Caenorhabditis elegans: one gene and its partner. The protein of the gene in region 1 purifies or fractionates together with the protein of each later gene. This does not show direct contact. Each region holds a gene or a part of one and is shown in the gene's direction. Other genes may lie near its edges.

What was found. The genes of interacting proteins can lie anywhere in the genome.
Region 2: the proteins of H05L14.1 (region 1) and F53B2.8 fractionate together in Caenorhabditis elegans (co-fractionation; one large-scale study listed by BioGRID). This does not show direct contact.

The regions. Positions count from the first base shown.
Region 1 is NC_003279.8:7,971,958-7,978,953, reverse strand, and holds H05L14.1 (Protein kinase domain-containing protein), read left to right. Parts: upstream 1-1,875; 5' UTR 1,876-1,954; coding exon 1,955-1,976; intron 1,977-2,280; coding exon 2,281-2,441; intron 2,442-2,784; coding exon 2,785-3,042; intron 3,043-3,521; coding exon 3,522-3,668; intron 3,669-3,717; coding exon 3,718-3,822; intron 3,823-3,952; coding exon 3,953-4,319; intron 4,320-4,375; coding exon 4,376-4,463; intron 4,464-4,508; coding exon 4,509-4,670; intron 4,671-4,843; coding exon 4,844-5,285; intron 5,286-5,643; coding exon 5,644-5,796; intron 5,797-5,844; coding exon 5,845-6,055; intron 6,056-6,146; coding exon 6,147-6,415; 3' UTR 6,416-6,481; downstream 6,482-6,996. Other genes in the region: rbg-2 (Rab3 GTPase-activating protein regulatory subunit), read right to left, coding at 6,663-6,996.
Region 2 is NC_003282.8:12,525,718-12,529,009, reverse strand, and holds F53B2.8 (Coiled-coil domain-containing protein 86), read left to right. Parts: upstream 1-1,613; 5' UTR 1,614-1,790; coding exon 1,791-1,812; intron 1,813-1,859; coding exon 1,860-1,940; intron 1,941-2,159; coding exon 2,160-2,611; 3' UTR 2,612-2,779; downstream 2,780-3,292. Other genes in the region: F53B2.5 (Importin subunit alpha), read left to right, coding at 31-264, 307-447.

The DNA.
Region 1 (6,996 bases):
AATTGGAAATTCTCAAAATCGGTTACGATTTCAAGAAGTATATCGTAACCAAGAAAATCCCTCATAATTTATAATGCCCATAAACTGGATCAATTCGGCTCAATAAATAAAGTTCACGCGCAAGCACTGCTGACAGCTGTTTTATGATGCTCAGTGAGCAGCAAACGGTGAAAACACGTTTGTAGGGTCATTCTAGTAGATTTGGAATGATGTGCTAATCTTGGAGCCAGCGGAGTTGTAACTGAAGGTTTCAAAAAAAAAAAATATATCAAGAAATTTCAAGTTTACAAATAAAAGCCTATCTCCGAGGTGGCTTACGCCTTCTTTGTTCCTACCAAGGGTGGCAGAGTTTCTATTTTTGGAAGCACAAAAACTCGAAAAGGTCGTGGTTCGATTTTTCTTAAATTTTTAACACACTTTTGATTTATCTATCGCGTTTTGAAAAAACTGAAAAATTGCTCTTTTGAAACACTAACCAACTAACCAAGCTCATTCACTCTTTCCCAGTAGACATTAGTGACGAAAGCGACGGGAATGATGTTAATGATTCAACATTATAATCAATGAAATTCCTTACCTCATGAGATTCTATTTTTGAGCAAATTAGTTGAAAAATGAAAAACGTATAATACATGTCTGGATAATCAAGATAAACTGGAACATTTTTAATATTTTACAGAATGTTTAACTGCAAAACTATATGAAAGTTATTAATGATTGACATTTGTCAAATTACAATATTTCAATTAACCTTAAGATACTAGACTGTTAGAGATGATACTATGCACAAAAAGGGTAACAGAACATAGAACTTATGGAATGATTGTGTTTGAAAGAGAATCATTCAGATTGAGTGAAAAAGAAATGGAAAAATCATGATTTTTATGTGGAAAAGAAACGGAAAAACGGACAAGTCGAGGGGGATAAACATGAAGTCAATTGAAGGAGAATTTCAAAACAGATTTTAGTGACTCATAAAGTAATAAAAATCAAGTGTTGACTTTGAGAACAGATTTTGTAATTTATAATCCCAAACTAACACTTTCGGAACCAAGTTTAAAGTCTGTTATTATTCAAGCAAATTTCAAGGTCATTTGGTGAACAGGAAAAATATCCGAATGGTAGAAAAAATAAATGTTCGTTTGCAGGCCTCAGTTTTTGAAGCCAAACGCATTGAATGTGTGAAAAAGAAAGATTTGAAAGAGGCATCCCAAAAAAAGAGATTCGTTAAACAAATAGAGATGATGGTGTGGACAAAAAGAATAAAAGGAGAACAAGTGATAACAATATTCCCCCGTGTTCCAAGTTTCTTTTAGGGAAATGCCGATGAGTTAGAAATTATATGGTGAATACTGGAGATTTTGTTTAGAATTTAAAAGTTGTAAGTATGATACAACTCGACCTTCGTTTTTGCAGTAACTTGGCACCACTGAACCAACTTTTTTCGTTATTTCCTTGTTTTATATAACATATTGGGGTTTCTTGATTTACTTTTCGAATGAATAGAAGTAGAAACTGATATACTTTGAAATAGCTCCGCTGTTTTTTTTGTGGTTTGAGCTCAAATATACAGAGAAACAAATGAAAAGAAGAATGAGTAATTACGGGATTATGAGATGTAGGGAAAAGTATGTATACATATGATTCGTACTATTTTATGAAGAAAAAGTACCATATTTCCCCAGTATTTATCTTCTAGGAGCAACAGTTTTATTTATCAATTTTAATTAACTTATTTTCTTAAACTCTTTAAAAAATATGATAACTTTAATAATTTAAATTTTAAACAAAATAATTTTTATTAGCCCTGTAATGTTTTACCACGTTTTAACTAAAAAAACCAGAAGATTCAAAGATCGATAAGATATTTGAATCATTCCTATTTTACAGTGTTGTAAATTCTAGAAACACCATTTTGATTTCGTTCTCTTTGTCTAGTTGACAAGTAACAATAATGAGTACACCGGCAATCAAAAGTGAGTTTATCATTTTGTTACGTGGCAGGTTAGCTTGCAAGTGTACTCATGCATCAGGTAAACGGCAGGCATGAACTGAAGCAAGTCTGAGAAAATCTTGTGCATTGTCAATCATGAGGTAGGCATGAGAATGATGGAATAATGTAATGCAGGCATGGGCCAAGCATGAGATAGGTAATAGGTAAGCATACAGGCAGATGGACATGAGGGTACAGACAGTGGCATGAAGATGGGCATGTAGGTAGAGAGTTGTTTATTCATGCTCTTCCATGTTATGCCCTATATCATGAATGTTATTTTTCAGAACCAAAAAAGGCACCTCCAAGAAGTAATAGAAAAAAGAATTTGACAAAGGAACTATCTCGAGAAGCTTCACGAATGGGTGCACCTTCTCAAATGGGTGCTCCGTCAGCCGTTACACCAATACCCGTACCAGTGTCAGATCCAACAAAGAAGGGGACGACTGTAAGTGTACAAGTAGGGCTAAAACAACTTTTCTGATGATACCAGTATTTTCGAGACTTTCGCAGTTTCAAAATAGTATTCAAAAATGCTTTTTCAATGTTTTAAAGTTCACGTCCGAGGTCGAACAGCTGTATCGAATGAAAAATATTTCTAAAAATACTCACCTATGTGGCGTCATTTTTTAAAATCATGTTTGATTTGCGATGTGTGCATAATGTATCAGTGAGAAACATGGACACATCGCGATCGAGAAAAAGCGACCATTGCTGCGAGGACTCCTGATTATGATTGGGGCTATTATTCATTAAATTGTTCGCCATCTAGTTTAACACAACATTTTCAGATGAGTACAATGTCGCAAGTAAAATCCACAAAATCCAAAAACCACAAAAAAGAGGAAAAGAAAAAAGGTTCAAAGAATGATGAAGCCGATTCAAAAAAACCTGATAGCGCATCAAAAGATGATGAGTCCTCGACAAAGAAAGAAAAAGAGCCAAAAAAGTTTTTGAAGATTGTAGGAGGAAGAGAAATTAAGCTTCAAGAGCATCTGAGAAATCCTGTTCACCTTGGAGAGTTTAATGCAGTCAATGAGAAGAACGAGGTGAGCTGGCTAAACACGGATAGCCGTTGTGGAATCCTAATTGGAAATCTGAAAATTGTGATTGCTGGTAGCTTGACGTTACAACAGTTGATTCGTCAATATGATTTAGACGTCATAATCTAAGGCTAACAAGGAGGTTCCCTCCAGGGCTGCATTCCAATTTTCTGATTTTTTGATTTTTCGGTTATTCTTTTCAAATACGCGTATTTAAATACAGAACAGTTTTTCTGATAGTGCATTCAGGATGCTCTGTTTTTTATACGCCGCTCTTTTTCGAGCACACGTGACCCTAACGTAAAAAATCGAAGAAGCTTGATTGTAGTGCAATAAGTTCAGAACATCTACTTGATATTTTTTTTAGCCATGCGTGAATGTCGTAAGAACTTAGTTGTGAAGAAGCAGCAATTTTTCGAAATTATATGGATAACCTCACCAATATTTATATGTTATTAAACGAGTTATTCATCAAACATCTTCAGAAGTTTATTGTCCGCCTGGAGCCATCTAATCGTGGAAAATTGAAGTTTGGTAGTGACGTTGTAGCAGAAGTGGAAAAGTTGTTTGCTGGACAAGAAAAGGTGCCAGTTCTTCGAAATATTGAATTCTGTCAAACGCAACATTTGAATGTAAGTTTGAACAAATTTAATCAAATTTAGATTTCAAATTAACTTTCAGTACTGGATAATTTCTCCTTTTTCACTGCAAATTCTGGAAATTTTGAGGATTGTGAAAGCTCTCACTGTTCCCTGTGCATTCAATGTCGCCCTCCAGACTCTAGATGTAATTTTGATGTTTTTTTTTTCCATTTGAACTCCCTCAGCTTATCAGAGTCTTTTGATAAAGCTAAGACAGATGACTGAGATTTTGTCATCTTTTGAAACGAAATATAGCAAATAATTGTTACATTCAGGCTATTCAATATCTTCATCAAGCTGGATTTTTGAATCGTAACATAAAGCCTGCTTCATTTTCTGTCGGATTGAATGAAGAAGAAACGAAGATTTACATGACCGATTATCGTCTTGTTCGTACTCATATTGATCCATCCACAAAAAAGGTTCGCCCGGCTCGTACAGGTTTGAAGTACGGTGGAACAGCACGTTATGCAAGTATTGCTGGATTGAAAAAGAAGGATCAGGGAAGAAAAGATGACGTGGAAGCCTGGATCTATATGATTTATGATCTTATTGATCCGGAAAATGGGCTGAGTTGGAGAAAGTCGCCAAGATGTAATATGATGATCAAGGAGAAGGAAAACTTCAAATATCATGTTTTGCGTTGGTTTTAATTTTTTTAGGATTCTGGAGTCTGTAGTTTTATCTTTAACTTTCAGCACATACTTATGACAAAGTCCCTGAAGAATTCAAGAAACTCGTCGACCTCGTTCACGGTTATTCTTATGATAGTCTTCCAGATTATGCGTATGCTTTGTATAAAACTAGCCATATATATTTTATAAGTTTTAGAGCATTCAAGGAGATTGTTCAAAATGTGGGAAAATCAAAGGGTCATGATATGACAACATGTGATTGGGTTGGGAAAATTACGCCAGTCAATCAGGAGATTGCAATCAAAACAGCAGCTGAAAAATCAACTGGAAACAAGTGTTCGGGAGATGATGATTTTGAGTTAGTTGGGCGAGATTTTTGTACCGAGTTCACAAAGCACAAAAAACCTGCAGGATTTTACAATGATTTCGAACTATTGCTAAAATTTAATTTAAACTTTTTTCCTAAAGAGTACAGGCGTTCAAATGTTCCGAAGGGATAGTTCTATTCAAAACATGAATTAACAATTTCAGATTCAAAACAGCACGACCTGTTCGTAAAATAATGAATCCCGATGACGTCATCACCAATGGCCAATATGCGTGGAAAGTTGTAAGGCTACTTGGAAGTGGTGGATTTGGAGATGTTTACAAGGTGTTTGACGATAAGGCAAAAGGACCCAAAAAAACTCATTATGCACTGAAAACTGAAAGTGAAGGTGGAAAGAAGGCGATGCTCCGGTTGAAAGTTGAAATGCAAGTGATGATCACAATTTCGGATGCACGGAAAAAATCAAAAGGAGATGTTAACAGGCATTTTGTGGATTTCATTGATCGTGGAAAAAGTGAAGAATTGAAGTGCAAATACATTGTTATGAGTCTTGTTGGTCCTTCTTTAGATGATTGCCGAAGAAAGTTTGGAGTCAATCTTTCGAATACTTCTACTCCATACATCATTGCTATTCAGACTTTAGAGGTTAGTAGCAATTTGGGCTGAAGGCAGGCGTGGCATGTAGGATGAAATGGGGTAGGCATTAGGAAGGCAGGTTGGCAAGTAGCAAACATGTGGCAGACATCTAAGGGGTAGTAATAAGGTAGGCACAACTACAGACATGATGCACGCGGTACGTATGAATGAGACAGACAGGTATGCTAGCATGAAGTAAACCTGTAGGTAGGTAGGTATGATGTAGGCATGAGGTAATCGCATAGTCCAATCAGCGCGCGGCATGAAACACGCATAAGATAGGTGTGGAGGCAGGTATGAGATAGGCACGTATGCCTGAAGACGTGCCAACCCATTTCTTTTTGTACACTAATCCTGATCGTTTCAGTCCATCCGTGATCTTCACAATCTTGGATATCTTCATCGTGACATAAAGCCAGCCAACTTTGCCGTTGGTGTTGGAGCTAAAGAGTCAACCGTCTTCATGCTTGATTTCGGAATTGGAAGAAGTTATTTGGATCCGAAAACCAAACAGCACAGGGTAAAAACATGGTGCAACTTGAATTTTAGTGAATGAATCAATTTTCAGGCTCCACGTAAAAAAGTTAAGTTCTTGGGAACACTTCGATATGCATCACGAGCCTGTATGCTAGAAGTAGATCAAGGACGCAAAGATGACTTGGAATGCTGGATTTATATGGTGTTTGATATTTTTGATCCGAAAAATGGCGTCTCGTGGAAAAAGCAGAGAGATCGAGTCAAAATTCGAGAGGCTAAGCAATTATTTTTCGATGGTAAAGGTTAGTTACTGAATAAACGGGGGAAAGTGATTTTTGACTACTCATAGTCATTAATTGTCTTTAAAATTCCCAAGACACAAATAATTTACAGCTCAATACGACTATGCTCCAATCAGTTTGAGACCAATTATCATTTACATCAACAGTCTTCAATTCCAAACAACTCCCGAATACGCAAATCTTGTCAAGACTTTATATACATCGTCATCTGCTTCTGGTTATCCAATTCATAGTCTTGATGACGGTGGATGGGTTGGAAAACTAAAGAAAGAGGCAAAGTCGAAAATGGAGAAAAAGACTGCACGCTTTGGTGATAGCTCTTCAGAATCTGGAAAACAGTCTGGAACTGATGAAGATTGATACATCTCAACTGATCTACTCGATTTTTCTTCTTTTTCTTGATTGTAAATAAAGGGTTTTAGTGGATTTTATAGTTGTTCTTTTCTAGATTTATTCAGATACTAAGAATTTATTTTTTTGAAAATTATAACGAATTTACATTTATTTTACAATTTAAAATCAAGATGCTATCACAATTTTTAAGCACGGCACACAACAAAAGAAGACGGCGAAAACATGAAACCCATAAGAAAAATAATGCAATAAATCAATTATTCACCCACTGAGCTCCGAAATATAGTTTGGCAATATCATTCATTCGAACAAATGGAATGGCGGCCTGCGCCGATTGTGGTACCGAGTTTCCAGCTCTTCCAAGTGATGTAACTGCATCTTTCCAGGTTTTTGGATTACTGTCGACTAAAGGATCATCTGGAGAGTTTTCATAAAGCTCTACACGAGCAGCTTCTTCCCCAGCAAGTGCACATAGGTATTGAGAATGAGCAGTACTGTATCGTTTGTTCGCTTCATTTGCAAGTTGAATAAGTCTAGCAGCAAGAACACGTGCCAGTGCAACTGCTGATCGATCGTCCCGAACACAA
Region 2 (3,292 bases), on another chromosome or scaffold:
GAGCTTAGAAATTATCTATGGTTATTTCAGGAATGTCTGTGGATTATTGGAAATCTATTGGCAACTGCAGATGAGCATCAAACGTATCTTCTCGTCTCCTTAGGAATAGTACAGCATTTTCCAGCTCTTCTCGATTTTGATGATGTTCGTTTGAATGAAAAGGCGGCGACAACTGCAACTGAACTGCTCCGTGAGCATCCATGGCAGTACACATTGTTCCAACGTTTGGATATTTTGGGATGTATTGAGAGAGCTGGAGCAAACGTTAGTTGAATATCCTTAGACTTAACAATCCGTGTGTTTCAGTTTTCGATTCAAAAAGCCGAACTGAAATCTTTGATGAATGACTTGGCGCCACCTGAACGGAAAGATGAAGATATTGCCAAAGGATGTTCTGTGATTTGCTACAGCAAGCTCTCAGACGACTTTCACAGCATGAGCATTTGAATTTACTCGTTTGAAAATAAAAATACGAATTTTGATTGTGTAGGTTTAAAATATCAACCCATCAATCAGCAGAAAATGTTGTCTAATTACGTTTCTGTGATATTTAAAATTACTTGAACATTTCCAATACACCTGTTTTTATTTGTTCACTCGAATTCCAATCAGATTACTGACAGATTACTGGCTCTTCAACTGCGATTTTTCTACCGGTTTGTGTACTCTTTTTGGACAATTAGATGTTATGTGCACTTCCTGAACAGGTGCATAAACAATTGATGAGATGATGATGAATAGATGGATTAGGAATGGGGGAAAGAGGATTTTAAATGTTTTTGGAACATAGGGGGTAATTACCGGTAATTGATTTTTTCCAAATTTCTTCACTCCTAAAATATTTCAAGTTTTCAGGCAACAAAATGTGAGAAAAAGGATTTTTTTAAAGTTAAATATGATCAGTAAAGTGTCGGCTTCCATGATTTTTACAAATACACAATTATTATAACATCTCTTTTAGGTTTTTAGGTAGATTTGCATTAACTTTGCCAAAACTATTCGACTCTTCCAACTACAAAAATGTTTTCCAGTTTGAATTCAAATACCCGTCGTCCTTTTCTATTTGCCAATTTCCGGCGGCAATGTGATGGGATAGTGATATGACAATCTGTTACTCATTCCTTTTGGCGGTTTTTGTAAGGAACAAAAGCACTTTTTCTAGATTTGAATTTGAGTTGGGGAGATGTTGAACGACGACGATGAGCTGTTAGATGTTTTAAATCTTGAATTGTATAGTAATTCATAAGATTAAAAATCAGAAAACTTAAAAACTTAAATTTGAATATAAATATACCATAACTTTATGTCATCGATAAAAATTGGTCACACAGTAAAAACCGAGGGTTGCTGTACCTGGCAGTAGTCTGAAAAAATCAAATGTTAATGAAAATTTCGAATATTAAAAAATTTAAAACATTGCCTAAGTTAAAATTTTCGAAATGCTGAAATGCTTTGGGTGTAATATTTGTTAAGCATATTTCTAGTGAATTTTGTAGTTAAAAATTTCAACACTTTGATTTCGCAATCCCGTCACCCATCTTTTCCCTCTGGGTCTCACGATTTCCCCATACTTTCCAATAATCTTTCCTGTCAACATTCCCATTTCACATGACATTTTCAATTTTAATACTACCTTACTCATAGTCAACATCACTATTTCAGAATTCCACACTTATAAACATTATTGATGATAAAAACTCTTTGATAAGAAATTGATACAAAAACCCTCCTCAGTGCCTGCAATTTCAGTGGTTACTTGTACTGCTAAAATCAATTGCTTTGAACTGAAAATGCCAATGGGCAAGAAGTTGTGTAAGTTTTTAAAGTCGAGAAAAATTTGAAAATGCTCAAATTTACAGTGGGAAAGCTTAAGAGAAATAAGGTGGAGGAGCCACAGGTGGAGCCGGAGGAGGATTTGGGAGATGCTATGAGTACGCAAGGTTAGTAAGGAATTACATTTGACTTTTAGTGTTGAGCGTCGATTGTAGTGTTCGGAAAATTTTAGTTCACTGAACGGTATAGCAAATACGCAAATTTGACGCGAAAACTTTATAAACAACAGATTTGACGAGCAAATTATCGTAATAAATCTATGTGATAAGTCTAGTTTACGTTTGGCAGATTATATTACATACTCGAATGAGATTCGCAAATTTCAGAAAAAGATGACGTGAAAGTTGGGAAGAAAAGAGCCCCGAAGAATAACATGGGTGGAAAGAAACGACTGAGATCCAAGCTGGGAAATGTTGGGAAACACCAGAAAAGGGTACGCTCCAAGGAAAACACTCCGGAAAGAAAGCTGGAAAAATTGGAGAAACTCGAACTTCAACTGACCTTAAAACGAAGTCGAGAGGAGCAGAAACGAGCCAAAAAAGATAAGAAACTGGAGAGAAAAGCACTGAAGATTCAAAAAAAGTTGGAAGCTTTGAGAAGCATCAAGGAAAAACCACATCAAGGCTCTGAAGCACAAGGGCCAAAAGTCCCCAGAGCCAGAAAGATCCGGGTACCAGCCCCAAGACCACCCCGTCTTCCATATTTGGCTCTAGTCGCCAATCTTCATAAGGCTCCGAAAGCATTGCGTGATATGAGAGCTGCTGCTTCACGCCGTTAGTGTGGGCTTTGGATCATTTGGAAGAAAAAAAAATTGTTAAGTGGAAAATTAATAAGAAGAATATGAATCTGGATGTCAAATTTAATTTGTGGACGTTTTGAATTTTTCACTTTGAAGTTTTTATTTGTTAATAAAAAATGTTTGATTCAAAATTTACAAATTTCAAATCAGCATACCAAAATCTTCGAAATGTAATCATGATTCATGAGAGGTCTCGCCATGAAAACTAATGGTTATGGTAGATTTTTTCAATCTTATTCGAAATTTCAATTTGAAACTTGATCTTCAAAGTGAGACCACATTTCCCACTAACGTTTTTTATCTGCTCACTATCAGATCAAATTTAAGATTCAGAAAACTTGCTAGCTACAGTAACCGACACGTTTTGTAGTGAGACCCGATCTGCTTCGTAAAAATTCACATCTGCCTTGTAAGGAGACCTACACCTGATTCCTGCCTACAAAACGTGCCTATAGACTTGCAAAATTATTTCCGATCCTTTAATTGTTTGCAAAAATTCAGATGCCTAGGCAGTAGGCAAGCTTGTAGGCAGGCAAGAATACAGTAGGAGGAAACGTGCTTGCCTACTGGAATTTGGGAAATTTCTTCATAATCCGGTAAATTAAATTTTAAGGAGAATTCAGACTGTTCCCACAGCAATTTAAATCCACTTCCCTTTCC